Linked DNA regions of Coturnix japonica. The protein of the gene in region 1 interacts with the protein of each later gene in a pairwise test. Links are inferred from orthologs where the notes say so. Each region holds a gene or a part of one and is shown on either strand. Other genes may lie near its edges.

Region 1 (10,412 bases):
GAGACACCAACAGCCCTTCCCAGGCCTCCTCACACTACACCAGCTCAGCCTGGTAATGTAATATCACCTGGAGTGGGCAGAAGAGAGAGCAAGCCAAGGGAGATCTGGGTTTCTCTCTTTCAGCATAGGCTATCATAAAGTGATCTCTGCACTCAGCTCTGCCCTTTGCTCTTCTCTGCTCTTTGGAGCAAGAAAACAACCTGCAGCACTTGTGCCCCAAACACGGGCAAGGTCTGCATGCTGCACTGCTGACATAACCCAGCAGTGACCTGGGAGCTCTTCCTCACTCACAGTCCCACCCTGCAGCCTCCCTCACACCCCTCTTTTTTTCCCCCCTATCTTCTCCCTTTGCAGCTCCCTGCAAGTCTGATGCAGTATCTTACAGCTCCACTAACAAAATAAGGTACTACTTTTACCCCACGTGAGCCGATCAGTATTATTTTACCCTAATCCCTTCGTGGCAACGTGCCATTAACAATGACTGTGCTAGGGCAAGTTGACAAAGGCAAGAAGCCTTTCTCAGGCTCGCAGAACACCCAGCACAAGGGGATCAGAACAGCCATGAAGTGCTGGCAAATGAAGTGTTGGCAAATGAGTGCACACTAACAAAAGATTCAGTGTCAGCCATGCAAGAATGACAACAATAAAAACTGAAATGATAGAAGCTGATCGGGGATAATGCAGCACATGTTTATTTAGCAGGCCGCTGATTCTTTAATATCAGAGAGACAAATGTCTGCCAGGGGATGATTTAGAGCTGGGGCAGACTCCTAGCAAGCTCACATGAGCTTTCAGGTCCTTCCAGGGCTACGTATTGCTCTGAAATACTTGCCTTCCAACTTCTAGGCAACTCCATTTTCAACAGCCCCAACAGAAAGGATAGCAGTATCTACTCTTCTATTCCTCTACATACCATACATTTACTTCTCTTTGAAGTTATTTACCAGCTCAATGAGCTCTCTTAATTGCTTACTACATCTGGGAAGAGTTAAACGTTGGCTTACTACATCAAGACAGCCCCTTCCAAAGGCATCTGACATTAAGAAATCCTTCAGGGCTCTGCCTCAAGACATTAGTGCTGCTCATTAACCCTGCAGCAGGACTCTACAGGCCTGCACCTCCCCCTGTGGTGTTTCCCCAACTTAGCAAAGCAAGTCCTGGAGCCTTTAGCGTCGCATGGCTTCAAATTAAAAGATGCAGGTGATTGTTCAATAGATAAGCTCTTTTAAAGACATAAAATAAAGCAAACGATACCCTCTCCTGCCTAAATATACCTCAAAAGCCATCTTAGCTACCCACCTCCTTCCCTCCCAGCTGCACATCCACATAAGCACTTCCACCCCGTTACCTCAGCTTCATGTACCTGTAAATAAAGGGAAGAACTGGAGCCATGTGACATCTTCTGTACCATGCCATCTTTCTGCAAGATGCACTCCTCCAGGTGAATGACGTTGGGGTGCTGGCTCTTGATACTGCTAAGTGCCCAGAACTCACGCAGAGCTAGTTCCACGTTCTCTGGAGCATGGCACCGTATCTTTTTCACTGCCACCCGTGCAGAGGTCTTCCTGACGACTGCTTCGTACACCACACCATAACTGCCACGACCAACCTCCCGTATTAGATCGTACTTAGGCTGGCTACTCACCATCTTCAAGATCAAGGCTTCTGGGGAAGGGGGAAAAACCCACACAACTATAACTTATGAACAAGAACTGAGCTGTGTCTTCCCCCATATGGCCTGGCGTGGCAATGCCAGCTGCACCAACACCCTGCAGCGTGCAAGGAGGTCTCTGAGCATCACATTGAATGCAATGCTGTGCTCCAGTGCTGGAAGACTTCAGAAGTCACTCTTGTAAGCTTGAAGCCATAATAAGGGCTGGCTAATACATCATTTGGGTGGGACTATATGATTTCAAACACAGCTCAGCGTTCAAGAAGGCAACAATTCAAACCTAGAATTGCACTGCGCTGAGGCAGGGCTATCCCATATCCTGCTGTTCCTTTCCCTCAGTGTCTTTTGGGTTTTCCTATGCGAATAACAGGGCTGTTTCATGCTCTCCATCCACACCTGGGATATCAGAGAGTTTCTAGCTGAAACCTGCAGTTGAGGAGTAACAGGTTGAAACAGAGCTGACTTTTAAGATGACCGCATAGGTAAAGCTCGCTGTGATAACTTAACAATGGTTTTCCTTCTTCTGGCACTAAGATGAGATAGGAAGCATCACTGATCTTTTAACATCGCTATGACTTCCCAACTAGCTCCTACTGTCACAAGAAGCAGCAGAAGCACCCAGCTGACTTCGTTACTCCATAGGATATGGGGTGGAGCGATGCTCTATGAGGAAAACAACACACACAGCTCGGAATGGGGGAGGAAGAAGGGCAGCCCCACACCGTGTAGGCCCCGATGACCCCAATGCAATGGCAGCTGTGTCATACAGAACACCAGGGGAGGGCCAGGCCGGCAAGGCCGCAGTGAGAACTGCGTTTAAACGCCTTGATGGGGAAGGGAGGATCTCATCAGAGCTATTAACGAGGAGCTCGCGATTGATTCCAGTGCGGTAGGAACTATTTGTTCGGAAAAGAGAAAGAAACAGAGAGAGAAAGAAAGACAGGCATCATCAGTGCGAGGGCACCAAGCTCCGGCAAACCGAGGCCTCGCAAGGCCCCGATACAACACCCAGACCCCTCGTAGCTCTCCCACAACGCCATTATACCCCTGCCCGCCCCTCTCAACGCTCGGGAGCTCCGTGTTATGCGGTGGGACCCCGCAACACCCACCAAAGCCCCGCGTTACCTCCGCACTAAGGCCGCGCCGCCGCCGCCCGGCCGCCATCATAGGGACCGACCCCCCGAAGGCCACGCCCACTGACGCACCGCATTCTGATTGGCTGCGTGTATGTAGGCATTGGTGCTTATCTATTTCTTCTTTATCTATTTCCTCTTTATCTCTTTTTTATTTATCTCTTTTTTCGTTGCTTGGGGTGGGACAGCAAGCGAGCCTAGCTCCTCTGCTTCACTTTATCTGCGTGTCAGCGGCGCAGCTTTGCAATGACAGCCCCTTACCTATCCCTCTATTCGCCTATTTATTTACCCATCTATTTCTTCACCCATTTATTCACCTGCCCCATCATTGGCAGCGTCTCTGGGCTCCCCCGCTGTCCTCAATGGCAGCAGGGAGCAGATGGAGGTTGTGTTTACAGCGCTCGGGTTGGTTGGTTGGCAGCCGTGCCTGCATTGCTCGGAGCCAACTGGGGGTTGAGGAGGAGCCATTGGGGGCTGGGAAACCGAATGGGGCGTTCCAGCTCATCCTCTTGTGGGAATCCCCTTCATAAAGTCCAGCAGTGATGAGTTCAGTGGGCAGGGCCAGCAATGGGACAGGTGTGCATCCGGTCCCCCCCCCATTCCCTCCCTTACGGTGTGTATCTCAATGTACAAACCTCCTTGGAAGGTCTCCCAGTGCCAAAAAGGGGACAATGTTGCAAGATGTGCTTGGCTGGCTTCTGTGCTGTCACTTGGTTGACATGTGAGAGCCTTCCTGGAAGGAGCGTCTGGAACAGTCACAGGCTGCCCATGTCTGGGGGGTTCATCTGGGACAATATTAGAGCCCCTATAGCGTGCACCCACTGTGCTGTGTCCCTATGCATAAGTGTACTCATACAGCTGTGCACCCACGTATCCATGTGGTCATGCACCCATCTATCTGTGCACCCCTGTACCCTTTGTGCACCCAAGTAACCTCATTTACCCCTGTACTTGCATACTCATGCATCAATGTGCACCCATGCACCTGTGCACTCCTACAGCCCTCTATACAGATACCCCTGCTCCCATGTACCCATGCACTTGTGCCTCTGTGTGCCCATGGCTTTGTGCACCCACCACCCACTTACCGCAGCATCTCAGCACCCATCCCTTTGGCCACTTGCAGCACCTCCTACCCATTGGGCTCTATGGGGAACAGAGAAGCCACCTCACCCAACCCCGTCCTGTGACCCACAGCAGAGGTGTTATAATTATCCTCTCCCCTGCAGCTGCCAATATTTACAGGTCTCCCTGTGCACCGGCGCTGGGATTTGGAAGAACACCGTGTTTACTGGTGTGCCAGCTGACAGCCAGGCAATGTGATCAGGGCGGCTCCCAGCTGGGAGCAGTCTGGAGGGGCCACACTCCTGTTTTCCTGTTGATGTTTCTGGGTCAGGTTTTGCAAACAAGTGCAGGGCACAGCCGGGCATGTGGGATGTGCAGCATGGTGCTGCTGTGCTTGGGAACCCCCTTGCAGGCTGCTATATGGATTTTTGGGGTGCAGAGAAGCATGAGGAAGAGAGGGTGCACGCACCAAGCACATTTGCTGTATCCCCCAGGTGCTGCAGTTCAGCTAAAAAGCCATCAGCTGCCCTGCAGGTGCCTTTCACCCCACAAGAAGTTGCATTTTGAGGGTGCAAAGGGCAATGCAAACCCCCAGCCCGGTGCTTTTTCATCCTGACTCCCCAGCAGCATCGACCCCCCCCCAGTCTCTCGGTGTTCCCCAGCAGGGCCATACGGACAGCATGTCCCCAGCATGTCCCCAGCTTGTTTACTGCGGCCGCGCGCCTCGATTGTCACCGCCATGTGACAGCTGATACCTTCGGACAGCCGAGCCGACTCCACGTGATTGCTGGGCTATGGATAAAAGCTGCACGAGGGGCTCCGGCTCCAGAACTGAGATTGCTCTGAGGAGGAGCAGCAGTGCCGTACCAATGGATTTCCAGCCCAGCATCCTACGTGATGGCAGCCCCATGGAGAGCCTGGAGAAGCAGCTACTGTGCCCCATCTGCCTGGAGATGTTCAGCAAGCCTGTGGTGATCCTGCCCTGCCAGCATAACCTCTGCCGCAAGTGTGCCAACGACATCTTCCAGGTGAGATGAGGACCCCCCTGGACGTTGCCCTGCTCTGGGATGCTCTGCAGGGGCACCTGGGGACACCCCGATGTCCTTGTCCCCCTCCAGGCTGCCAACCCATACTGGCAGAGCCGGGGCAGCAGCATCATCTCAGGGGGCCGGTTCCGCTGCCCTACGTGTCGCCATGAGGTCCTGCTGGACCGCCACGGTGTCTACGGGCTGCAGAGGAACCTGCTGGTGGAGAACATCATCGACATCTACAAGCAGGAGTTCTCCAGGTTGGTCCTATGGGGACACAGGGGCAGCCACATCATTTTTGGGGGGGCGAGGAACCAGGGAGGCTGGCTTGGTGCTCCCCTCCCCACCTTTCCCTAACCCAAATCTCCACCTCACAATTGAGATCTCCATTCTCAACTCGAATCTTCACCCCCAACACAAATCTCCATCTCCCAGCCCAAACCTCCCTCCCAGCCTGTGCTGTTCTAGTCTGCGGTTGCTCTGTGGGGACAGGGGGACCCTAAGGGGGTGGCAGAAGAACGAATCCAGCCCCCATCCTGGCACCCTGCAGCTTTGGCTTTATGTTGAAGATAAGGGGTGTGAGGGACAAATCCAGGCTCTGCTTGTGACAGCAGGGAATGATAAGGGACAGGGGGACAGCCTGAGGGGTCTGACAGCATTACTTAGTGGCAGAGGTGCAGCAGGAGGGGGACAAACAGGGGGGTGATGTTTTTTAAAGGACCCAGACATGTGAGTTCATCTCCCCATTCTCCTGCCCCACTGTAAATATTGTTCCAGCTCCATGGGAACAGGGATGGAAGGCACGTGGCAGGTGGCAGCAGCCCCCGGGGGGGAGCTGGCGAACCCCCCAGTGGTGACTCAATGGCTGTCACCCCCCTGAGCTCCCTGGAGCCCCTGCCCGGGTCACGCGTTGGATGATAATAATAAATGCCAGCAGCACTCAGCTAAAATTAGGAGCTTGTGTAGCATCCCTGGAGCGTGGCCCCAACTGCTGCCATGCCTGATGACACACTGCTACAAACTGGGCTTACTGGGCATGCAGGAGGATAAGGCCAGGATCCGGTTATGGGGCAGTAGTTCTGCATTGGGTGGGGAGGTCACTGCTGTGGGGACGTCACCATGATGGGGACATGACGTCAATATGGTGGGGATGTCATTGTGCTGGGGATGTCATTGTGGTTGGGCTGCTCTCTCCAGCAGGCCGCTCAAGAAGGGGGAGCACCCCATGTGCAAGGATCATGAGGATGAGAGGATCAACATCTACTGCGTCACCTGCGAGGTCCCCACCTGCTCCATGTGCAAGGTCTTCGGTGCTCACAAGGACTGCGAAGTCGCCCCTCTGCAGAGCATCTTCCAGGGCCAGAAGGTGCAACATGGGGGGACATGGGGCCACAGTGGGGAATGGCCAGATCTGGGCGATGTGCTGAGCTAGGGTGGCTGCAAATAGCATTGGGATGCCTCATGGGGTATTAATAGGCAGCAGGCTGACTTTGACCAGGAGACAGGCCTATATTTAGTGCGATGCCCCCCCCTCTCAGCCTGTGGGATGGGGGCTGGATCGTGATACCCTGGCAGCACCCATCTGTGCCCTGCAGGGGTTAAAGCTGCTTCTGTCCATCTGTCCCTTCCCAGAGCGAGCTGAACAACTGCATTTCCATGCTAGTAGCGGGGAACGACCGCATCCAGACCATCATTTCCCAGCTGGAAGATTCCTGCCGCAGCACTGAGGTGAGGGACATGGAAACATCCCCCCAGAAACCAAGTGCTGGGGGAGGCAGCCCCTGAGCAGAGGACACAGGGGCTGGAAGGACACATCTTTGTCCCCATAGGAGAACAGCGAGGCGGCCAAGCAAGAGCTCTGCTCACGTTTTGATGCGTTTATGGCTCTGCTGGAGGAGAAGAAGACGGAGCTACTGGGACGCATCACCCGTGAGCAGGAGGACAAGACAGGCTTTGTGCAGGGCCTCATCCACAAGTACAAGGAGCAGCTGGAGAAGTCCAGCCGGCTGGTGGAGACGGCCATCCAGGCCATGGAGGAGACCGGCGGGGCCGCCTTCCTCATGGTGAGACCCCCAACCCCTAAAGCCCTTGCTTCCTATTGGGAGTCTGTTGTGCCACGTCCTGGTGGCACAGGGACATGCTGGGTGTTGCTACTCTGCCATCCTCACCTTTCCTCTTACTTCCACAGAATGCCAAGCAGCTCATTAAAACGTAAGTGCCCGAACTGGGGAAAGCTGTGGGATCCCCATCCCCTGCCAGATGTGGGTCATATGGCTCTGCTCTATGCTTGGGGCTGTGGGATCAATGCTGTGCTCCCTCCCCCAGCATTGTGGAAGCCTCTAAGGGTGGCAAGCTGGAGAAGATCGAGCAAGGCTATGAGAGCATGGACGCCTTCACAGTCAGTCTTGAGCACCTCGCCGATGCTGTCCGCGCCCTCGACTTTGAGCCAGGTAATTCCACCCCAAAAAACCCTTTGGGATCTGACAATGAAGGTCCTTCAGCAGCTGCCCCTCACTGACATCCGGTGCCTGTTTACAGATGAAGAAGATGAGTTCTATGAAGAGGTGGAAGAAGATACAGGAGACACAGAACCCGAAAGGGTGGTGGCAGGTAGGGCCAGCCCTCTCTGTGCCGGCACCAGCAGCATCACAGCGGAAACCCCACAGACAGAGGGGATGACAGAGGATTGATGAAGTCCCACTCACTGCCCTCTCCCTCTGCAGCCCCCCAGTAGGACACAGGATGTCCAGGACAGAACCTGGGGACACACTGACGGGGCCGGCCATCCAGCTCCAGTACAGGACACTTTTCTATACGGGTGCCAAGAGGACTATTCCGCACGTTTTATATGTTCCTTGTTTTGTATATAATTGTAATGGAGTTGTGTATTTTGTACAGAAAACTGGTGCTCTGGCTTTTGTTTTCTTTTCCTCTCTCACCTCTCGTTTTCTCACCCTGTGATGGGTTTGGGGATGTGGGAGTGTTCTCTGCTATGGGATCAGTGCCCAATTCTCAGCCTAATTAACACCTCTGGTGGCCTTGGCACCTCATGCTGGCTGTGCTCCCGGGATGTGACAGGTCAGCACCCAGCAGGATTTATCCCAGTGCTTACCCGGCCTCGGGGACATGGGGTGACGGTGCTCCAAACTCTGCCAGCCCCAAAAGGGGACAGCATGGAGCTGAGCTCACATGGGTCCAAAATCACAGCACAGTCGGGTTCTTCTGTGCCAACATAAACCCAGCTCAGGGTTGAGGGTAAACTGAGGCAGTGCTGAAAGCAGAGCCCAGAGCTGGAGTCAGCCCCACAGCAATCAGTGCTGCTCCTGGGGGCAGTGGGGTGCAGTCACTGCTATGGGGGTGTCCAACCACAAACTGGGGGGGGGGGGGTTGTTCCCATGGTGGGGAGGGGGTGCACCAATGCAGCTCTGTCCTTAAGGGATGCAGCCACATCCTGCATGCAGGTTAAGATGTGCTTCTGTGTGATACACATGGGGATGCCCAGAGCAGCCCCTCCGTGACCCCGAGAGCCCCCCGGCTGCGGGCTGCGGCACGGCCAGCGTGGGGCGAGGCTCAGCAAGCGATTTGCAGCCGGCTTGGCCCTCCTCCCCCCGGCCTTGCTTTGCACACGGGTCCCGGTGCTTCACACGGCCGCGGTCACAGCTGCCACCAGCTCCGGACCCGCATCGGGGTCAGCAGCGCCGGACCCCGCAGGATGGCAGCGGGCGGAGGGGAGAAGCAGCAGCTGCTGGGCGAGGGAGTGGGCAGGTAAGAGGGTGAATGGGGGGGGGGCTGGAAACCTGCGTGCACCCCTCTCCTCACTGTGCTCCCGGATGGGGTCTGCCAAAGCCATCTGTTTAGGGAGAGGATCTGGGGAAGGGGACACGTCGGAGCAGGGCTAAATGCAAAGAGCGGGCTGCAAATCCCTTCCTCCCTCCCCCATGTCCCCCAACCGGGTGCCCCGATGTCACCTTTCCCTGCAGGTCCTACTTGGGGATGGTACAGAAGCACACAGCCGGCTCAGCGCAGGGCCAGGCGCCCACCCTGGAGCTGAGGGCACGGCACCGCCGGCACTGCCATGCAAGGGGGGCTGATAGCGACCCCCACCAGCAGCAGCGGGCACGCAGGAAGCTCTATGTGGCTGCTGGCATCTGCCTCATCTTCATGGTGGGGGAAGCTGTGGGTGAGTGAACGCTGGGTGAACACATTGCCCTGCATGGCCCCTCTTGTCTCATTCTGTGCTGTGGGTGCAGGCGTGGGGCAGGCAGGGCACCTCGTTTTGCCATGGGATGCCCATATGCTTGGATCTGGATGGGGATCCCCCATCCATACCACAGGTGGGTACCTGGCACACAGCCTGGCCATCCTGACGGACGCTGCCCACCTCCTGACGGACTTTGCCAGCATCATGATCAGCCTCTTTGCCCTCTGGGTGTCCTCACGTCCCGCCACCAAAACCATGAACTTTGGCTGGCACCGGGCAGGTAACCTCAGGATCCAGCTACAGCCCCATTGTGTGCCATCCCTATGGCACAATGACATGGAGGGCTGTCTGCAGAGATCCTGGGGGCCCTGCTCTCTGTGCTGTCCATCTGGGTGGTGACGGGTGTCCTGGTGTACCTGGCGGCCCAACGCCTGCTCTTGGGTGACTACGACATTGAAGGCAGTGTCATGCTCATCACCTCTGCCTGCGCCGTGGCCGTCAATATTGTGTATGTATGATGTGCTGTCAACCCCTGGGCAGGAGATTGGTGGCTGGGGAAGTCACTGCTGCCCTGCCTGCAGGATGGGGGTGGCTCTGCACCAAACAGGCCATGGGCACAGCCATGGAGGGGCTCATGAGCAGCCCCACACCCACGAACAGCCCAATGCCAGCGTCCGTGCTGCCTTCGTCCACGTGGTGGGGGATCTGCTGCAGAGCGTCGGCGTCCTCATTGCATCCTACATCATCTTCTTTAAGGTATGGAGGGGAGGGAGATATGGGGGACATAGTCTTGTCCAGCCATGAGGTGAGATGGGGTTGATTGTTAATGGGGATTTGGCTGCACTTGTTGGGGTTTCACCTGCTTCCACCCCTCCCAGCCTGAGTACAAGTTTGTGGACCCCATCTGCACCTTCCTCTTCTCCGTTCTGGTGCTGGGGACAACGCTGACCATCCTTCGTGACGTCCTCCTCGTCCTCATGGAGGGTAGGGAGCCCCCCAGAGTGGTGATATGTACCCCCCTCCCATAAGTGCCTTATCCCCATCCCACCCCGTGTCCCTCCAGGCACCCCCAGGGGGATGGACTTCAACGCGGTGCGGGACACTCTGCTGGCGGTGGGCGGCGTGGAGGCGGTGCACAGCCTGCACATCTGGGCGCTGACAGCCTCGCAGCCGCTGCTCTCTGTGCACATCGCCATCAGTGAGTGCTGAGGGATGCAGGGCCGGGGAATGGGATATGGGGGTTCCTCCGGCCCCCAACAACCCTCCGGGCTCCTTGTAGATGCGGATGCCGACTCGCAGGAGGTGCTGGAGGA
Region 2 (10,249 bases), on another chromosome or scaffold:
ACAGCGGGACGCTGCCAGGGTAGAGTTGGTAGCCACCATCACAGTCCTGTCAGGAATCTTCCAGGTAAGAACCTAGCAGGGAGTTGTGGCTGTGCTGTCCCCATACCCGCAAGCTGTGGGACCTCCTCCTGTCACCTCTCCTTTTAGGTGGCCCTGGGTCTCCTGCAGTTTGGCTTTGTGGTGACCTACCTCTCAGACCCACTGGTGCGTGGCTACACTACTGCTGCCTCTGTGCACGTCCTCATCTCCCAGCTCAAGAATGTCTTCGGGGTCTCCCTAGGCGAGCACTCAGGGCCACTCTCATTGTTCGTGGTGAGTGAGGGGGTCATTGACACCCTGGATTACCCAGATGTGGTAAAGCATCACCTACAGAATACATGGAGTGTCCCTGAAAGAGCTAACAGCAAGGTATCTATCTATCTGTTTTCTCTCCTGAACACTTGCCTCCTGCATCCTCCAGACCTTCATTGAGATCTGCAAGAAGCTGCCAGAGACCAATGTGGGCACCTTGGTTACAGCCATCATTGCCATGGTGGCTATCTTCATTGTGAAGGAGCTCAATCACAAGTTCGCTGCCAAGCTCCCCATGCCCATCCCCATCGAGCTCATCACGGTACTCAGAGCTGTCCCAGCTCCCCAAGGGGACACTGCCATGGCCTGGGGCAGGCGCCATTACCCACAGATGTCCCTGTGCCTCACAGGGTGATGGGGGGTGGGACAGGGTGCCTCTGCAGAGGGGACTCCAGGGCACACACCTCCTTGTCCTCCTGCATAAGCCATGCTTCTGCAGGGAGGCCCTGCCTCACCCAGCTACTCCCACAGATCATCATCTCCACTGGCATATCCTATGGTGTCAACCTGAACTCCAAGTTTGGCATCTCCGTGGTGGGGAACATCCCCAGCGGGTGAGTGGGGCTGGGTGGCAAGGGCAGCTGTGCTGGGGCACCATGGTACCCACAAGGCCCCCTCCTGAACCCCATCTTCCTGCCTTGGACATAGGTTGAAGCCGCCTGTGGTCCCTAATGCCAGCTACTTTGGACAGGTGGTGGGCAATGCCTTCGCCATCGCTGTGGTGGGTTACGCTATCTGCATCTCCCTGGGTAAAATCTTTGCCCTGAAGCATGGCTACAAAGTGGATAGCAACCAGGTGATGCTCTGACACATGCAGCCCCTTCCTCTGTAGTGTTTCACAGCTCACAGCCCCAGGATGCATGGTGCTGCCTGACAGCTTCTCTGTCCTTGCAGGAGCTGATTGCTCTGGGCCTCTCCAACTTCCTGGGGGGCTTCTTCCAGTGTTTTGCCATCAGCTGCTCAATGTCACGAAGTCTGGTGCAGGAGAGCACAGGGGGAAACAGCCAGGTGGGTGTGGGTGGGTGCCTGCCTCTGCTCTTTAAAATTCCTTCCAATATCCCCATGCTAAGGTGTCAACATGGGGAGACACGAGCTGGGGCAAGGAGAACATCCAGGTTCACTCCATCTCTCCCCTCAGGTGGCTGGTGTCATCTCTTCCCTGGTCATCCTGGTAACCATCCTGAAGATTGGAGAGCTCTTCCATGACCTGCCCAAGGTGCAGCCAGTTCTACAGCCTCCACTTCACTTCCCAGTCTTTCACCTCCAGTATAAAGGCAGCACAGGGAGGGGGATGCTCTATTTGGGGTGGGAAATGACTGGAGGCAGCCTTGGATACGGGGCACAGTGAAATGCCCCCCAGATGTGTCCTTGGCACTATCATGCATACAGACTTCTCTTGTAGGCCATCTTGTCTGCCATCATCATCGTCAATCTCAAGGGCATGTTCAAGCAGTTCAAGGACCTCCACACACTCTGGAAGTCCAACCGTGTGGACTTGGTAGGGCATTGATTGGCCCTGAGGGAGTTCCTTAACCCTCCACGGGGCTTATGGTGCCATGGGACTAGGCCATGCCCCAGCTGACTGTGCCCTCTCTAGATGGTCTGGGTGGTGACTTTCATAGCCACGCTCTTGCTGAACCTGGACATTGGCCTGGGAGCCTCAGTGGCCTTCGCATTGCTCACTGTCATCTTCCGGACCCAGCTGTGAGTACCCTCAGGCTGGGCTGGGTACAAGGGAGATGTGGTGCTTGGGGACAACGTGGACATTTGTACTAACTCCCAAGGCTGACACTAGGATGTCCCTGGTGTGGGGTAGTGAAGTGTTGGGGACCTGGTACTGTTTCCCAAGGGCAGAGGAAGCCCACAGGAACACCCTGTTGCTCTGCTCCCCACAGCCCCCACTATTCCATCCTGGGACGTGTCACTGACACCAATGTCTACAAGGACGTGGCTGAATATGAGAAGGTAAAAGCACTGAGGTGTTGGCATGGTAAGAGAAGAAGCACCCACAGGAGGTGGGAGCAATTAAAAGCACCCCATGGTATTTTAAGGGAGGGCAAGAAGGAGCACATCTCTGTCCATAGGGTAACACACCCTCTCCATCCATCCCCAGGCAGAGGAAGTCCCTGGAATAAAGATCTTCCGCTCCTCCTCCACCATCTATTTTGCCAACGTGGAGCTGTACTCCGATGCACTGAAGAAGAAGGTAGGAAAATCTGCCCTGAGCACAGCAGGCAGGGCACAACACTCAGGTCCCTGTGGCCTGCCAGGGGAGATGTGGTCCAGGACATCAAGGCTGGCTTAGCAGCAGCATGGTGTCCCTCACATATTTCCATGGCATCACTGGGCCTCCTAGGCTCTGCCCCTCTTCCTGACGGCCATGGGGCTGTATGGGTTTGCAGAGTGGCATCAATGTGGATCGCCTGATTGAGAAGAAAAAGAAAGCACTCAAGAAACTGAAGAAACAGCAGAAGAAAGCAGAGAAGGAGAAGGCAAAGAGGAAAAAGGTGCTTCCCAGCACATCCCTCTCGTGCTGTCCCACACCATTTCCCTGCCCGGCCATAGCCTTCTGCTCATGCTAGGCATCCCATGGGGCTCCCAGTTTGGCCCACAGCCACCAGACAGGGAGAGGCATTGGCATGCATCTGGGTTAACAACATCACCTTTAACGTCAGTGGAGGAGGCTGCAGTCATTAATGATTAGGTGGGGGAGCTGGTGAGTCATTCATAGTCTGGGGCAAGTTAATCATCAAAATGAAGCACAAGAGCAAAGGCTGACTGGGGAGAGGAGTCTAATGAGGCCAGTTCCAATCATTGGGGAGAGCTCACAAGGTGACCTGGAAAGAACCTAGAAGTGGGACTTGGGTGTGAGCAAAGTGCCCACTCCTGGCACATCCACCACCATAACACAACTAGAACCCCTCCAAACCCCAGTGCGCTATGGGGCAGGACAAACCCAGGGTCCTGGGGAGACAATGCCCTGCAGAGTGCCACCAGCACCCACATGGCGAAGGGGTTTTCACACAGGACACAGAGGCTGAGTGCAATGGGCCAGGACTTGCAGTGATTGAGCTGAGTGAGGAGGAGGATAGAGCACCTGCTGAACCCACCCTGCGCTCCCTGGGGCTGCCCCAGCCTGACTTCCATGCTGTCATCCTGGACTTCAGCCCCGTCAACTTCGTGGACACAGTCTCCATCAAAATCCTGAAGAACGTAAGGGCTCAGGGGTGGTGCAGGAGTGGGACAGCCAGATGGCAGCCGCTCATCCCTTTACCCTGACATGATTTTTACCATTTACAGATCTTCAGGGATTTCCATGAAATAGAAGTGGACGTCTTTGTTGCCTGCTGCCCAGGTGAGGAGAAACCATAGAGCTATCAGCCCCTGTAGGGAATAGCCACCCCTGTGAGACACGGCTGCTGGTCATGGGGCTTCTGTGCCCTCTGTGGTGTCCCCTACCCCATATTCTCCCCAGAGGACAGCAGTTGCAGGAGCACATCATGGGGTGCCAGGCTGTCCCCATTGGCTGCACATTGCTCTGGCATCCCAGTGTGAGCTCTGCAATACTGGCTGTCCAGTGATGTCCTGGGCAGGGGGTGGGACGCTTGTTTGGGTGGAGGCCAGCTGCCATAGCTTTAAGTGCTTCTTTCTCCCTCTGTGCAGCGTCTGTTCTTGCCCAGCTGGAGCGGGGCAACTTCTTCAGCTCCACCATCACCAAGCACTGCTTCTTCCCGTCGGTGAATGACGCTGTGCTCCACATCAATGCTCCATCGGTGCGCCCAGCCTCGGTAAGCACCCAGCCTCACCATCCCCACCGCCAACACGTTGTGGGACGGCACGAGCCGACTTTCCTCTCTGCCCCCTTTAGGAGAACCGCAGCACCAAAATGTAGCCCTGCAGAAGAGACGACTGAGCAGCGGGGCCGTGCCGCTGGGAGGGCTCCACCACCACCTGCCCGGGGCCTGGAGCCTCTGCGGGACGGGATGGGGGGCTGGGAGCCGATCTGCCCCGTGTTTGGGGCGAGGAGCCCGGCAGCGGAGGGCTGTGATGCCGGCAGCGGGCTGTCACCGCGGCGAGAGCCCAAAGAGCACAGCGCGGTTTCCTCAATAAAGGCATTCTCAGCCAATTAAGCCTCATCTGTGCAAAGGGCGGCGCTGCTGTGCCGGCTGTGTCCCGCTGTTCCCTATGGGCGGCCCCATATCACCGCACATACCCCATCCCCAGTGCCATCGTCCGGCCCCATACCGGGCACGGCGGTCCCATCCCCAAACCTTCCCGTCGTTGCGCCCTCCCACCGCAAGGTGGCGCTGCAGCGAGAAGCGCTCTGTCCTCATGTGCCTTGGGGGCGCTACGGAGCATTTTGCGCATGCGCTTCCCTCCCCTTAGCGCTCCTTCCTTCCGCCTCCCGTTTGGCGCATGCGCAGTGCAGCCCGCTCGGTCGCTGTAGGGACAAGATGGCGGCGTCCTTCGTGTGCCGGGCGGCCGGGCGGGTTTTGCTGCGGAGCCCCCATCCCTGCGTGAGTCGTTGTGTGACAGCGGGGAGACTGGGAGCTGGGAAGGATGGGTGGATGGATGGATGGGTGGGTGGGCAGCTCGGGTGTGCTGTGCGGCGGGACACGGCCTGTATCTCGGCCCGGAAGGTCACGGGGACGGGTGGGCCGCGAGGGGCTGTGGGGGCTGTGGTGACCTCATTGCAGCCTTTCAATACCTGAAGGGAACTTAATCCCAGGAGGGGAGTAAACTCTTGGAAAGGGCTGATAATAGCAGGACACGGGGAAATGGTTTTAAGTTAAAAGAGGGAAGATTTAGGTTGGATGTTAGGGGGAAGTTCTTCACTAGGAGAGTGGTTAGGCCCTGGAACAGGCTGCCCAGGGAGGTTGTGGATGCCCCGTCCTTGGAGGTGTTCAAGACCAGGTTGGACGGGGCCCTGGGCAACCTGATGTAGTAAAGGTGTATGTTTGGTGGCCCTGCCAGGCAGGGGGTTGGAACTACATGATCCTTGAGGTCCCTTCCAACCCGGGTCATTCTGTGATTCTGTGTGGTCCGTGGGGGCTGCGGGCTGTGGGTACAACAGGGCCGCTGTCATCAGCCCGGCCCAGCAGTGTGCCCTGCTGTGTGTGTGTGTGCTGGAGGCCTGTGGGGCGGAGGAGAGGTTCTGGTCGTTGTTGAGTGCTGTGAGCCTTTGTTCCAGGCGACTCTGCTGCCTCTGACAAGGAACCGTGGTACGGCCACCTACGCGCAGACACTGCAGAACATCCCTGAGACGAACGTCACCACGCTTGACAACGGGCTGCGAGTGGCTTCGGAGGAGTCCAGCCAGCCGACGTGCACGGTGAGCATCGAGTGGATTGAGACTCACTTCCCATAGTGACAAACCTGGCTTTGAACTGAAGCTTGGTGAAGACTGCCCCAGTTCTCTGTTATTCAGTCAAACTGTAGTAATACTGTGCCTAGCCTGGTTTCTTTCCAAGCTTTTGCACTGTACTGGTTTCCTGAGCTCTGCAGTGTTTGCACTGATGTAGTCCCACATGTAAGCAGTAACTGACCAGAAGTAGTTTCATCTTAGGCAAACCTGTCAATGGCTTTTGTTAAACTGCTGTGTTCAATGCTTGAATGCATACTGAAAATAGTTGCTGGTGCATGTTCCTATTCTGGGGCTACTGTTGAAGCACACTTTTTCTTGCTGTTATATATATGGCACAAGTCTTGGAACATACTGTCTGCTTGTTTATTTTCTAATATGTGTGCTTGCTATCTTTGCTGTTAGGTGGGTGTGTGGATTGGGGCGGGGAGCCGCTATGAGAATGAGAAGAACAATGGAGCTGGTTATTTCGTGGAACATCTGGCATTTAAGGTAAGACTTGGTCTGGCATAAGGCTGCATGGAGACAATGTTCCAGACGTTCACTGACATGTTAGTTCTTGCTTTGGAGGCTGCAGGTATTAATAGAGGTGTAATTGTGAATCAGAATCAATTCATCTGAATCTCAGAGGCTCTGCACGTAGTATAACAATAAACTTTAAAAGGCATCTAGTCTCTATGGTGGTCTTTGTTTGAATGTGGGGCTGTGAATGAAGACAGCTAGTATTTTTTAGTTGGTATTTCTCCTCTTAAAGGAAAAAAGTCATGAGCAATAAGTTGGACTGGTTCTCTGATGCTGCGATTCCTTACTATCCCAGCTTATTGTAACACATGTATAAAACCATGATGAAACTTGTTTCCTCAGGGTAGCAGGCAGACCTGAATCTCTATTTCAGAATCAATTTTCTGCTCCTATTCTGGTATCCTCCAAATATTGCTAGTTAAAGGACTAGAAACCTGCTTCCTGTTTTTAGTGGTGACTTGTCCATATTTACTTACACTGTTCAGCCCCTGTTGTACTTTAGCTTAGATTTTCTCCTTTCCTTTGGGTTTCATTCGGCATTTCAAAATACATTTCAGCCATTTTTTAGCTATAGTCAATAAGCCAAGTGTTAAATATTTTGCTTTCTGCACCAGCTCTTGTTTTTTACAAATCACGTGGCAGGTTTTATTGCATTAGGTTTTTACTGTTCTTTTTACTGCTTTATTTCAGCTATGTGGGGGAACTGTTCACTATCTATGTATTTCTGCATACTTTTAGGGCACAAAGAACCGTCCTTGTGCTGCCTTTGAGAAGGAAGTGGAGAGCATGGGAGCTCACTTCAATGGGTACACCTCACGTGAGCAGAGTGCCTTTTACATAAAGGCTTTGTCCAAGGACATGCCAAAAGGTAGGATGGTCAGTGGCGGAAAAAAAGCAGGTGTTTCTCCCCCACCAGTATACTTTATAGTAATTGACCAGGGAATGAGGCTGTTGCTGAGCAGTAAATTGAAGACGGTATTTGGCAGTTGGAGGGAGCACTAACCAAGAGGTGGTGCTTTAAGGCTGTAAGCTCACTTGTACCTAAAAGCAGCCTTACAAACCTCTTTTTTTTTTTGTCAGGCTGTTCTGTATTGCCAGAAGGCAGGGGGTAGGGGTTCAGTAGTGTGTAGTTGCTTTATGGAGCTAAGAAAATGCTGTTAGCAGCAGCTACTGTGTCAGAAGTGCTCAGTGCCGCTCTTGTGGATGTCACATATGCTTTGTGCTACCTATCGTGTGCAGGCTCCTCTTTGGGTCAGTTTTGTCCAGAGGAGGTGGTTTGAGTCAGAGCTATTGTTATGACTCAGTCCTACTGTAAGTGTGGACCACTCTGTAGACATCACAGACTCTCCACAATAATTCAGCTTGTTTCTACAACAGTACCTTGTTTCTGGCATGCATCACCTTCTGTATTTGTTACCTTCTGCCAACTTTCTGCTGGCAATGGTGAACTATCACAGATGCTTGGCAAGCTGGTTTAGAGATTTCTTCATCCTAAAACTGTGTTATTTGTCCCTCTCTGATGCTGTGGGAGTAGATATGTTGTGTTGCACCACCACCCCGGCACAGTCTATTTCCCTCTTGCTGTATCCCTGCTGCCTTGTTTGTTTTTGATTGCTAATGTAGCAAATATGTTGCAGTGGTAGAGCTTCTGGCTGACGTTGTGCAGAACTGTGCCCTGGAGGAGTCTCAGATCGAGAAGGAGCGTGGTGTCATCCTTCAGGAGCTAAAAGAAATGGACAATGACTTGACTAACGTTACCTTTGATTACCTTCACGCCACTGCTTTCCAGGGCACTGCACTGGCCCGCACCGTCGAGGGGACCACAGAGAACATCAAGTAAGCTATAGACTGGCTGCACTATGTGACTTGTGGGCTCAGACTTTGGGGTGCATAACTCCTGCAAGAAAACCAGTCAGAGTGTATGCAAGGAATAAGTGAGACTGTATGTGGAGGTGATATGTGCCCATGGGCTTCATAAGTCTGGACTGTGCTTTCCATCTTAGTGCTGGTAAATGTGTAATGCTGCTCATGTTCCTCTCCAGAATCAGTTTTCATGTATGATCTGATGGTGGTAGGGCTTGGCTGAACCTTTTCCCATACTTGTTGGTTTGATGCCTTTAGAGGCATTAAGAGCTAGTGGTGCTCATTAAAGCAGTGGCCTCAAGCATTCACACCTGTTAGTGTGTTGGTTTCCCTGTGACCAAGGGTTGATACTCTGGTCTGCATTTGAACTCTGTCCTTAACTCTTGACCACCTGTTTCCTTTCTCTGTGTTCCAGTATTAGAGTGCAGGGGAAAAAAGGCAGTGCAGATGTACTTCAGGAAAGTATTATTATCCCATAACTGATATAATCAACAGCATCACTTTTTCCTCTACACTGTGAATTCAGTCTCTAATCCCTCCAGCTCTGAGAAGCTGATATATTAGGTATCTCTTTGTGCTTTCTAGGCATCTGACTCGAGCAGACCTAGCTTCGTATGTTGATACTCACTTCAAGGCACCTCGTATGGTCCTGGCAGCTGCTGGAGGTAAGCCCAGATTGTTGAGACTCTAGTGATCAACCCCCTGACATGCATCTCTAATGTAAAATAAGATGATTTTGTTAAATGGAGCTCTATGAAACTTCCCTTATTGACAGGTATTTCTCACAAGGAATTGGTAGATGCAGCTAAGAAACACTTCAGTGGGGTGTCCTTTACATACAAAGAGGATGCTGTGCCTATTCTGCCACGCTGTCGTTTCACAGGGAGCGAGGTAAAGTGTTCGCATGTTCTTAGTCTTATTGTCACAATATGTTGGCTTTTAGATGGAAACAAAGTCCAGTAAGAATATGATACTATTGCTCACATTGTCTAATGGAAATACTTCATCAGAGCAATTGATTTGTCCTCAATAGAGCCTGAGGCAATTTTATTTCACTGGGATAATGTGAAGTTCTCCAGTTTGTCAACTTGGTGTAGCATCAGACTGCAGACAACATCAAAATGCTCAGTTAGCTCTTTCCTGTTCCTTGGTGACTTCCCAGATCCGTGCCAGAGACGATGCTCTGCCTGTTGCCCACATTGCTCTTGCTGTGGAGGGGCCAGGATGGGCTGATCCTGATAACGTTGTCCTCCATGTGGCTAATGCAATCATTGGACGCTATGACCGCACGTTTGGAGGTGGCAAGGTAAGAGACCTGGGAATGTGATAGGGAGAGCATGGAGTCTTTTCTGCAAGGTACTGTGGAGCCACCAGATTAAACTGCTTTATGGGAGGCTGTTCTGTTTAGCTTCCAGATTTGGTCAGAGATATGGAAAGTAGAGGTGTAATCGAGGCTAACCCAGGATAGTTTTTAAGATGTGATGCTAGGAGATGAGTTGGGCCTTTTCTGCTGTGTTTGGAAGAAGTTCAGGTGATTAATTCTGAGCAGCTTTTCCTGCCTTCATGACCTGACTGCTCAATGGTGGAAACATTATGGAGTAACCTGTAGTCTCTTGATGCAAGCCTGCCTTGCATATATAAAGCAATTGGAACTTGTATAAAGCCCCAATACTACATCCTTTCTCGTCTATAATTTGTCTTGACTGCTAACCCCTGCTACTGGGAAACCTTGTACTTGCCAATATCTCCACTTCTATACTGGTATATGTACCAGTTCCTCATCTGATGCTGGGAAGGGAAAAGATTTTGCTGTGTGGACTCCTAGGCTATTGTGTGTGGCTTTTCCAGCTGTGACTCTCATCTGTTGCCCACATGAAGGGCTTAAATTAAACTCTCCTTTGATAAGTGTTACGCTCTGTCTTGTCTGCGGTCTTTGTGAGAACAGCTCAGGGGGAAAGAATGTGAGCTCTGGGGAGGCTGTCTAGTTGAAATGGTTGATGGTATCTCCTTCCTTACAGCACCTGTCCAGCAGACTAGCTGCGCTCGCTGTGGAGCATAAACTCTGCCACAGCTTCCAGACGTTCAACACCTCCTACTCCGATACTGGCCTCTTTGGTTTTCATTTTGTCGCTGATCCTCTGTCTGTAGATG
Region 3 (10,362 bases), on another chromosome or scaffold:
CCAAAAAGGGAAACAGAGCAACCTTCCTGTTTAGAACGTATGAAAAACCCGCTGGTAGAGCTGCTAAATGTCAAACACTGTCCGGGGAGCTCGGGTATCTGTCATCAGAGGTTATTAGGAATCAATAGGATAAACACCAGGCAGGAAGGTTATGGATGCCCTGATCCTATGGAGGGGCAGGGGTGGACTGAACGACCTCTGAGGGCTCACGCCGGTCCCAGTACAAGCACACAGTTGCCAGCACTGTGCTGGCACACAACCCACGCTACCTGTAACCTGTTGTAACCACCGCTGCTCGTCAGCAACCGGTGCCAGAGGGAACCAGGGCAGTGAGCCCTACCAGAAGGACACACAGGGGTGTGCATCGGGGTCACGCCCCGTATTTGTGCTGCAGGATGAGCACAGGCTGCAGCTGTGGACATGGGACCGTCCCAGACACACCACCATGCAGAAGCACAGGGAGGGGGCTGCCCACAAAGCCCCAACGCGGCAACGGGGTGCTCCTGTTCCCCCAGCGCCCCGGAGACACGGCCCCCATCTCTCCATAGGGATTAAAACCCCGTACGGTTTGAAGCCGGCACGGGCTCTGCCCTCCAGCATCGCAGCCGGGAGCGCCCAGCAGCCCCGTGTCACCCCCAGCCCCGCGGCGCGGCCCCCCCCGGGCGCAGCGGGACCCCAGCGGGGCACAGCGGGACGCCGCCAGCCGGGACCCCGTGTCCCAAGGACCCACCCGCGGTGTCTCCGCGGACAGTCCCGCATCGCCCCGCGGCCCGGAGCCGCCCCTTACCTTTGTGCCCGCCGAAGGCTCCGTACCACGAGAGCGAGAGCAGGGCGCAGAGGCAGCCGAGCAGCAGCGTGAGCGCCGTGCCGCTGCGGAGCCTCATCGCCTCCTCCCCCGCATGGCCCGAACGCGGCGCGGCCTCGGCGGCCCCGGGGGCCCCGCAGTGCGCGGAGCGGGGCGAGCCGCCACAACGGCCGCATGCGGGGACCGCGCCGTGCGGGGCGGGGCGGGGCGGGAGGGGCGGGGACGGGACGGGAGCGGGCGGAGAGCGCCCCCGTGTGGCGGAATGCGGCACTGCAGCGCTGTGTGCGCTACATGCGGGGACATGTTAGTGTGTGCGTGTACCTGGGTGCTCGTCTGCGTGCCTTTGGTTTGCATGTATGAAGGCAGATATCTCTGTACTCGGCTTATACACATAGAAACAGGAACACTCGACACAGTGTCCACCTTCCAGCTGGCCAGCACAGAAGATATCAGATATAAAAGGGTTGGAAATGCAGAGCACTGCAGGCTCCCAGAGCAAAACGAGAGCACAACTTTTATCCCTTGTGACGTTCGTATTAATGGCAAAGCTCACATTGACTCCTACAGGCCCTCCCTGCCCCCACAACAGCATTGGCTTTGTTTTGTCATTCCTTTTTTGTTTTGTTAAGGAAAGTTTGAATTGTGAGCTGCAAACACACAAAACCCAAACAGCGAACACACAAAACCCAAACAGCAAACACAGCCCGTCAAACACAGCCCAACAAACAGCCCAACAAACACAGCCCAACAAACACAGCCCAACAAATACAGCCCGTCAAACACAGCCCAACAAACACAGCCCAACAAACACAGCCCAACAAACACAGCCCAGTGACCTTCGTCCCGTCGGTGCTGGCAGCACTGAGCGTGTTGCAGGAGCTCGGGCTGCACACTGAGCACACAGACAGCAGCCCATAACTAAAGGCCATTACAGACAATAGGAGAAAGGCGTGTTAGGCCCACAGATAGAATGCAGTGCAGACTGAGAGCTGATTTTGCCCAGTTCTCTGAAGAGCTGTTCACCCCCAGCTGCTCTGCATCAGCACAGCGCTGTTACATCAGCAATGAAGTCACCTCACTGCCTGGTGCCCACAGGCTGCTGTATTCAGACATTCCTGCCTCTCATGTGGGGCAAAAGTCACAAATCTCACTGTGAGCACAGCACTCACTGCAGGCAATGAATGTAGGTAGGAAAAAGTGCCACCTCACCTGTGCAAACACGGAGCTCCGATGTGCTCCCATAGCACAGATGTGTGCTGTGCTCTGTGCTTCCCATCCGCACATTGTGCCCACCTTCCTCACTCTCTGTCCGTGTCTTCCTCCCTTAAAAACAAATGCTGTGTCACACCAGTGACAAATGGTGCTGATCCCATGTAACCACCACCAGGTTCAAGAAATCCAAACCTCAAAATGAGGCAGCAAAAAGACAGCTCGGCTTCCCCTTCCACCCACACAGCTTTCCAAAGCAACGTGTCTGAATATGATCCTACCACCAAAAAAGGGATGTACTTCTGTATTAATGCACGTACACCTATTAATGTATGCGTATACGTGTATGTGTAAGCATGCATTTGTGACACCCTGGGGGCAGGATGGATGCAAGGTGTTATGATGGTGATTGGATGCCAGGAGCTGCCCCATGCAGCTCTCTGTGCCCTGGTGTGGCTGAAGGAGGCACGGTGGTGGTGGGGCAGCCCTTCTGCAGGGCTGGAGGAGGAAGTAGTCACGGGACGGGGTGAGTCACCAGCATCTGACCTGGTACATCCGGAGGATCCCTCTCCAGAAGCCTCTGGAAAGCACCAGCACCTGCTCTCTGCAGCTCTGCACAAGGGCAAACCCTCCCAGCCCAGCTGCAGCCCCTTGGGTGGTGATTTGGATAATGATTCCCTCTGCAGAACCTCCTGCAGCCTCTGTTGTGGTCCGTGAGCACAGGAGCAGCATCCCAGCAGGGCTTTGCTGTGACAGTGCAGAGCTTGGGTAGAAGGAGCACTACTGACGACTGAGCCTTTGGAGCAGCAATCTCAGCAAACGTTTGCAAACAGTTTCCAGCAGAAGGTGGGTGGAGGGAGGAAGCAGAGCTGCGGGGCTGCTGAATGCTCCTTTCTGAGCCCTCCCTCTGCAACTTGGAGTCGTGAAACTGGAACAGTTTTATTCCCATCCTCTTTGCTGTCCTCCTGCTCCGTCCATCTGGGGAGCTGCTCATAAGCCGGGGCTGACAAGTGGTTTTTTGAGCAAGGGTTGTTCTATGGATGGAATGTGGTTCCTAAAGAAGAGCAAGAAAACATTCAGTGCTGCCAGATAAATTCCAGGCCTGGGTCCTCCAGGTTAATACAGGCTCAGGTTAACAAGAGCTTAAGCCAAATCTCAGGCTGCAGAGCAGTGTGCAGTTGGGGTTGGTGGGGAGACATCTGTCTGTCCGTCCGGCTGTGGGATGGGAGGATGCAGTGAGTGCCATTGGAATACATGGGAGCACGGCAGGGCCGAAGCACCAGGCCACGGGGAAACACCAGAGTCAGGGCCTGGAGGAGGAAATCCCCACCTCGAGGAGGAGCAGGGAATGCTGAGTCACCCCGTCCCGTGACTGAGCTGAGCTCACTGCTCACCGCAGGCCTTGTTTGCTTTGTGCTTTGAGAAAGTGAATGATGTCACGGCCAGAGAGCCCAGCGTGACTCAGCAGGCAGCTGAGATGGGACGCTCTCCATGTTTACTGGATGGAAGTGCCCATGGAGGAGAGCAAGGACTCATGTTGATGCCTGGCTGTGGCTCACACCAAGCTCTCACTTGTCACCTCATGCTGCACGAGTGCCACGTCCCAGGAGCGTGCTGTGATCCCAGAGCAGCCACATGTGCACCAAGGGCACATCCACACGGCAGGCCGTGTTGTGGCACACACAACCCATCGTGGGGGGACGCTCACCCTGCAGTGCAGCACAGCATGGCTTACACACTGTGATTGCCTCAGCCCAAGGTGGGCAGCCAGGCTGTGGGCTGGAGGGAATCAGTGCTACAGAGCTGAGGCAAAGGGGTTGCTCCAAAAGTAATGCCTCCCATTTGCAGGTGGGATGGCAGCAGAGGGTGAAGGAGCCAACAGCTGCTGAGTGTTATGGAGCCCAACGAGTGGGTGAGCACAGCACTGTGAGCACAGCACTGTGAGCACGGCATGGCCGTGTGTTTCACAGTCACCTGTAGAGCAGCATGCAGCCTCGTGTTCACCACTGATGACAATGCACAGCACAGTGGTGGTGACCGCGTTGAAAAACAGTGCTTTGTAGCTGAGAACCTGCTCTGTCAAACAGCGTCACTGTGATCTCTGTAGCTGTTGTAGTTTCCATGCAGATAAATAGGAGGCATTACTTTCGGGGCGAATATGGGCTCTGTATTTCCAGGCGGCGGGGCGGTGCCTAATGGCAGTGGTCGTGGTTTAACCCAGGGCTGTGCCCACCCCGGCCCGTCCCCCCGCTCTATAAGGCTCGGTGCCGCCGCTCCCTCCCGCAGCACCGCCCGCCCCGCGCCGCCTCCCGCCGCTCGTTGTCCCGCAGCAATTCGTGCTGCGCCACAGCCATGGCGGCGCTGACGGTGAAGGCCTACCTGCTGGGCAAGGACGACGCGGCCCGCGAGATCCGCCGCTTCTCGCTCATTGCTCCCGTCCGCTACCAGCCCGTCCACGACCGCGTCGCCGAGCTCTTCCAGGGGCTGCTGCGGGCCGGGCCGCCGCCCGCGTTCCGTATGCATTACAAGGGTGAGCGGGGCGGGGGGGCTCGCTGTGGGTCGGGGCCCCCTTCGTTGTCCGGGAGGTGGGTGCGGGCCGAGCGCCTGACGGTGTGCTCTGCTCTGTCCAGATGAAGACGGGGACCTGATCGCGTTCTCCACCGACGAGGAGCTGGATATGGCCATGCCTTACGTGCAGGACGGGGTCTTCCGTGTGTACATCAAAGGTAACGCCCCGCAGCCCGGTGGCACCGAGCGCTCTGTGCTGCTGGCACGGCTCCGAGACCGGGAAAATCCCGGTCCTGTCCCTCATCCTCGTGCTGCAGCTCAGAGGGGAGGTTACATAAAGGGCGAGGTAAAGACGGGCACAGACCCACTGTGTGCAGGGGTTCCTCCTGGCTCCGGGGCCTGGGTTGGCACAGTGAGCGCTGCAGTGTTCAGGATGGTCCTAGGAACCCCCTGCCGTACTGCCAGCAGGTGCCATGACATGTAAAGAAACCCCAAAACCAGCTTATTCCTAAGCACATCATTCCCCAGTCCGCTCTGTTCACTTGGACACCTACAAAGCTTTATCTGTAGGCTGTGATGTGAGTAGTGTAGGCCGCCCTTCTTGTCTCAGTTCTCACCTGCAGTGTCCCCTGGCACTGCTCAGCTCTGTTCAGAAACATTCTCTTCTCGCAGCACTCCACAAGGTAGGAGGATGCTCCAGGCAGGGTGGTGCAGCACTGATCTAAAACAAAGTGTTTGAAGAGCGGGTATCCTTGAACCACCCCTTTGCACTTGGTTTATGTTCTTATGTGCCCCCAGCTTGTGTTTGGCAGCCAGTGTAAAAATAAACTGCCCTAGTAAGTCAATACTGCTGTGACAAGGGCTGTTTGTGTTTCCTTCCCCTCTGCCCGATTTCCAGCCTTTAAATAGTACCCTCGTTCTTGATGCAAAGATCCCTTTCCTTAATAGAGAAAAAGGAGTGCAGGCGTGAACATCGCTCCCAGTGCAGCCAGGAGCCTCCCCGGGACATGGTGCACCCCAATGTCATCTGTGACGGCTGCGAGGGGCCGGTGGTGGGCGCTCGATTTAAGTGCACCGTCTGCCCAGACTACGACCTGTGCAGCACCTGTGAGGGGAAAGGCATCCACAAGGAGCACAACATGGTGATGTTTCAGAGCCCGCTGCTGAATCCGTTTGAGGTGAGCAAAACCTATGGAGCAGAACCAACAAAAGGGATGCTGCCCAAATGTAAGCTTTAAGTTTCACCTGGTCCCATGAACGTTACCCTTTGCAGTGGATTCCCAGAGGGCGCTGGCTCCGTAAGATGCGGCATGGTGTTCCACCCTTCCCCTGGATGCACTGCTGGGGGTATCCCGCACCTGCAGCTCCGTGCCAGAACTCGGAACAAGCCCAGGCCAGTGCTGCTGCCTCCAGTCCACCCGCTGCTGGAGGTAAGAGGAGATGGTCTGCTAAAGGAGAATAGTAGTGGAGGAGCCAGAGAAGCTGGGACTTCACAGCCCAGTGTGGGATCTGGGTGGGAAAATAGACATGGGAACTAATCCAATTTGTGTGAAATAATGAGCCCTTTCCAGGACACTGGTGTGGTCTGGTGGCCACACAATATATGAGGTTATGGAGAGCCTATTTGGAACCAGACCAAGCAGAGCTATTAGGTCAAGCATGTCACTGCTCTGCTCTTAGATGTGCTTTCAGCATGGCTGATGAGCCTTAACAGTGCTAATGCCACTGGTCTTCTGTTCCAGAGGTGGTTTTGGTCTCTCTGCTGCCTTGGTGCTGTGCAGATGAGTGACACAAAACAAGCACCAAGAATTCCTGGGGATGTGCTCTTTCCCTATGGGCTGCTATGTGTACTAACACAAATTGTTCTTCTAGAAGCTTCTACTAACAGCCAGCCCCAGGACCCCAATGTCACCTTCTTAAAGAACGTTGGGGAGAGTGTGGCAGCTTTTCTGAGCCCCCTGGGTAAGTGACTTATGGTGTGTCATCCCCATCCCTGAGAATGGCTTTGCTCCCACCAGGAGCAGCAGCCAGCTGTTGTGGCTGGTACCAGAACCACTTTGTGCTACTCAGCCTCAAAAGCCTTAAGTTTCTGTGTACTAAAATTGTGTGGGTATAGGCCATCTACTCAGTACCTTTTCAGAGTCCTTTGTAAGGATCCAAGGAAGGGATTAATTATATAACCCCAAATCACCGATGATTTAAAATCATGTTACAGTGGTATTTTGCTTAGGCACACATACTTAAGGTCTGCCTTGACCCTCTAAACACATGGCCTGTCTTTTTAGTGCAGGATGACTAATTGGTGCATCAGAGCTAACTAAAAGAACGCTTTGCACTTGAATTCATACGTATTATATGGGGAGCTGTAGGGTTACAGTCATGCTGCAGCACTTAGTCCAGGATTAAAGTTTGCTTTTTTTCTTAGAACCGTGCTTTCAAAAATCTAATGGTTTTTTCTTGGTCTCAAATGTATTCCCAGGTATTGAAGTTGATATTGATGTGGAACACGGAGGACAGAGAAGCAAAGTGACTCCTGCTTCTAATCAAGAGAATAACGGTGCCGAGTCAAGCAGCAGTACTGCTAATCAGAACAGTCAGAGCAAACCATGCTGGAATAGCACAGATTCTGCAACGGTAGTAAACAATGTTACAGAGCAGATACAAGACATGGTGATAGATCCTGTGCCCACACAAATGGAAGATGGCAGCCTCCAGTCCCAGGTACAAGAAACACTGCATTAATTTAATACGCTTGCTGAGGCCTTACTGAAAAGGAAATAATTCAGTATGTGTTGAGGGACTGATGATTCAGTTGTCAGCAGATAGAGAATATATGGCACTTTGCTTTACTGGTTTACAGCAAAGGTGGGACTTGTTGTAAATGTAATTCTTCCTATTAAAAGCAGATAGTAAGAGCATGCATCCTACCTGGAAAGCACTACGGCACCTGGACCTCCTTTCTTTCCATTTCAGGCACACAGTGAGTCAAGCAGTTCATCAGGGGGTGACGAGGACTGGACCCACTTGTCTTCCAAAGAAGTGGATCCTTCCACAGGTGAACTGCAGTCTCTACAAATGCCAGAGACAGATGATCCCAGCTCCCTAGATGTAGCTCAGGAAGCTCCCCAGGCAGGACCTACAGGGCTGAGAGAGGCTGCACTCTACCCACATCTCCCACCAGGTACGAGAATGCATGCAGGTTGCACGTGAGTTAAAGTTGCTCTCACTTATTGCCAACTTGTCCAATATAAGCAAACCTGCTTAGGAACCAAGCTCACATACAGACAAGTTAAACTGTAACTTGTGCTCTGGCAGCACTCTGCATGCTGTTAGGAACAGGCATGTTCTCTGCTTGAATGGTGGCAGCAAGTCTTAAACTGGTACTAATATGCCATTTGAGCAGGATGAGAGAGGTGGCCTCTAATCAGTGTCCTTGCTGTGTACTCTTGGAGAGCCTTTTAATGCAGGCTGTAGACAATACATCCTGTAACTTAAGACACTTTTCTGGCAAGAGCTAGTTAGGAGTCTGCCAGGTCACTTAACTGAAACCACTGGCAATGAGGTTTACAGCAAGGACAGATGGATCTAACTCAGCTGCTTCCTTAGCAGGTTACATATGCTGTATCTCAAAATGTCTGCCTCATAGGATACAGAGGAAAGTGTCTTCCAGCGCTTGTCAGCTATGCTAGATCTGCTAGGATTAGTGCCAGCCCACCATGTGATACCACAGCCTTGGCTGGTTTGCTAATAATGTGAAGCGTTTTAACTTCAAACTCATTCTCTTGACAGAAGCAGACCCTCGCTTGATTGAGTCTCTGTCCCAGATGCTCTCCATGGGCTTCTCTGACGAGGGTGGATGGCTCACTCGACTCCTGCAGACAAAGAACTGTGACATCGGGGCAGCGCTAGATGCCATCCAGTATTCCAAGCAGCCTCCTAACTTGTAGTAGCCTATGTAACAAAAACCAGTTTCCTTCTAACTAAAAGAAAACTATGTGGTACAGTTAACTCTAGCAAATGCATCTTCTGTTACAGGTTTCTGTTTCATGTTCCTAAGTGCTTGTAGTGTGGAGAAAAAAATAAATACTGCCACTCTTTCACTGGTGATGAGTTTGTGGCTGTTTAATAATCATAACTGTTCTACTCTGTTAACTGGAACTTGATTATAAGTTAGGAGAAGATCCAGGCCAAGAGCACATGATTTCTATGTCAGGTGGTTCTCAGTGTAAAAGTAAGGCTAGCTCTGTGCCAGTCTGTTTCTTGCACATAACCTGGGCTCTGAGCAGACACCTCGGGGTTATTCATTTGTGAAGAGCAATCAAATGCTTGGCTCTGAAGCCTGCACCGTAGCTTTGAAAGAAAGAGTTGCTATGGGTGATGCAAACAAAGAGCTAGAACAAGGGAAAAGAGTTGCAGTTTATAGTGGGGAATTAATCACAGAACTTAACTGTACTGGTAAGATATTCTTAAAGCCTTGGAGGCATCCCTGCTCCCTCCCATCTGACCTACTTCCATTCTTACTTCTAATGTACTTGCTAGACACCACTGTGCAAACATAGCACTTGCTTCTTGGATCAGTCTTTCCCAACAAGACACAGCTAGATTGCCTTTAAACAACTTCTTTAATAATGCTCTTAAAACCACCTTCACTTCAAAATCTTGCTTCAGTATACAAGCCAAAAACAGACAGAAAAGCAATGGTGAAGATGCCCAAGTTTCTCAGAAATCATCATCAAAGTCATCACCTGTGCAGAAGAGGCGTTCACAAGAAGAGGTGTGAGGCTTGGGCCTCACAAGGGTGGGTGCAGGAGGTCTGCTACCAGTGCTGAAGTCACCAGCTCCAGCCCATAGCAGCTGACTTGGAGGTTCTTTGGCCAATGCATCCTTCTCACCTGAGCAACTGATGCTGGGCTGCACACTGCCAGGCAGTTTTAAGGCGAGTTGCTCAGTGCTAGGAATGCACTTTTTACGTTCAAAATCTGTACCTAGAGGTAGAGCACTTTGAGCCTGTTCCAAATGTGTAGTGGCCATACTTACTGCAGTGGTGCTGTGTGGTCCCAACCTTCCACTGCCATCCTGTGGTGACAAAGTGGCCATAACAGCATTTTCACTACAGTTGTTAGAACAGGAGAGATACTTTTCCCACTTGGAGGGCTTGGTACAAGCAGCTGGGGGTTGGCTGTTCTGCTGTGGCACTATGGACTCAAAGACAGCTGGCACTACACTGTCTGCAGAAACAGCATCTCCATCACCTTCATCAGGCACTTCTGTTGAACATTTCTTGCACTGTAACAAGGAAAAGAAAGAGTTTGGTTGTAAAGGCAGCACGTGTACCAAGAAACAGGCAAAGTAAGAGCACTTCTGTCCTTCAGATGCACTTAAGTTTTGACCAACAATCTGAAGCAGAGCTGAGGCTGATGCTCTGAGTGCATCTATGAACCCTGGCTGTGAAGACTCAAGCCAATTTAATTAGCAAAGCAGATAATCACAGTAACCCCAATAGCTGTGTCTTATGCAAGGTGCTGCTGCTCAATTGCAAAACAGAACTGACAACAGCTGCATTGATGGAGGAATCCGGCTCAACCACTTTTACCTTACAGCAGATGGCATCTGCTACTCCCTGACTAAAACCCTTCAGAGAGAAACTGACAATACGATTTGCTGCCTCTCCCTGCTCATTCAAATACAAGAGCAGCGGAAGACTTGTACAACTTCAAAGTTACAATGACATAAAAGAAGCCAGGAAAATACTGTTTTGTTTTACTCTTCTTACAGCCAAAAATACTCAAGAGGTTCTAACCTTTTTGGCTTGGTAGAGAAGCTGGAAAGCACCATCTTCC

Evidence for each region.
Region 2: the proteins of TRIM63 (region 1) and cytochrome b-c1 complex subunit 1, mitochondrial interact in a two-hybrid assay, tested with the Homo sapiens proteins (2 studies listed by BioGRID and IntAct). The link is inferred for Coturnix japonica from reciprocal best matches to the Homo sapiens genes TRIM63 and UQCRC1.
Region 3: the proteins of TRIM63 (region 1) and SQSTM1 interact in a two-hybrid assay, tested with the Homo sapiens proteins (2 studies listed by BioGRID and IntAct). The link is inferred for Coturnix japonica from reciprocal best matches to the Homo sapiens genes TRIM63 and SQSTM1.

What each region holds. Positions count from the first base shown.
Region 1 is NC_029538.1:2,857,736-2,868,147, forward strand, and holds TRIM63 (E3 ubiquitin-protein ligase TRIM63), read left to right. Parts: upstream 1-4,123; 5' UTR 4,124-4,664; coding exon 4,665-4,898; intron 4,899-4,988; coding exon 4,989-5,158; intron 5,159-6,095; coding exon 6,096-6,264; intron 6,265-6,530; coding exon 6,531-6,626; intron 6,627-6,727; coding exon 6,728-6,961; intron 6,962-7,086; coding exon 7,087-7,109; intron 7,110-7,223; coding exon 7,224-7,348; intron 7,349-7,436; coding exon 7,437-7,508; intron 7,509-7,621; coding exon 7,622-7,632; 3' UTR 7,633-7,812; downstream 7,813-10,412. Other genes in the region: serine/threonine-protein kinase PDIK1L, read right to left, coding at 1,364-1,648; SLC30A2 (zinc transporter 2), read left to right, coding at 8,611-8,663, 8,879-9,078, 9,233-9,379, 9,454-9,607, 9,681-9,855, 9,978-10,083, 10,163-10,297, 10,379-10,412. UniProt on the Homo sapiens protein: E3 ubiquitin ligase. Mediates the ubiquitination and subsequent proteasomal degradation of CKM, GMEB1 and HIBADH.
Region 2 is NC_029527.1:6,716,862-6,727,110, forward strand, and holds the start of cytochrome b-c1 complex subunit 1, mitochondrial, read left to right. Parts: upstream 1-4,736; 5' UTR 4,737-4,805; coding exon 4,806-4,868; intron 4,869-5,542; coding exon 5,543-5,683; intron 5,684-6,118; coding exon 6,119-6,205; intron 6,206-6,973; coding exon 6,974-7,103; intron 7,104-7,872; coding exon 7,873-8,071; intron 8,072-8,683; coding exon 8,684-8,763; intron 8,764-8,873; coding exon 8,874-8,989; intron 8,990-9,260; coding exon 9,261-9,404; intron 9,405-10,116; coding exon 10,117-10,249. Other genes in the region: SLC26A6 (solute carrier family 26 member 6), read left to right, coding at 1-64, 148-312, 461-613, 823-905, 1,000-1,147, 1,246-1,359, 1,490-1,567, 1,754-1,849 and 8 more. UniProt on the Homo sapiens protein: Component of the ubiquinol-cytochrome c oxidoreductase, a multisubunit transmembrane complex that is part of the mitochondrial electron transport chain which drives oxidative phosphorylation.
Region 3 is NC_029528.1:4,613,772-4,624,133, forward strand, and holds SQSTM1 (sequestosome-1), read left to right. Parts: upstream 1-4,289; 5' UTR 4,290-4,366; coding exon 4,367-4,544; intron 4,545-4,644; coding exon 4,645-4,740; intron 4,741-5,470; coding exon 5,471-5,700; intron 5,701-5,795; coding exon 5,796-5,952; intron 5,953-6,394; coding exon 6,395-6,484; intron 6,485-7,001; coding exon 7,002-7,243; intron 7,244-7,495; coding exon 7,496-7,703; intron 7,704-8,311; coding exon 8,312-8,469; 3' UTR 8,470-8,622; downstream 8,623-10,362. Other genes in the region: MGAT4B (alpha-1,3-mannosyl-glycoprotein 4-beta-N-acetylglucosaminyltransferase B), read right to left, coding at 788-884; MRNIP (MRN complex-interacting protein), read right to left, coding at 9,242-9,808, 10,323-10,362. UniProt on the Homo sapiens protein: Molecular adapter required for selective macroautophagy (aggrephagy) by acting as a bridge between polyubiquitinated proteins and autophagosomes.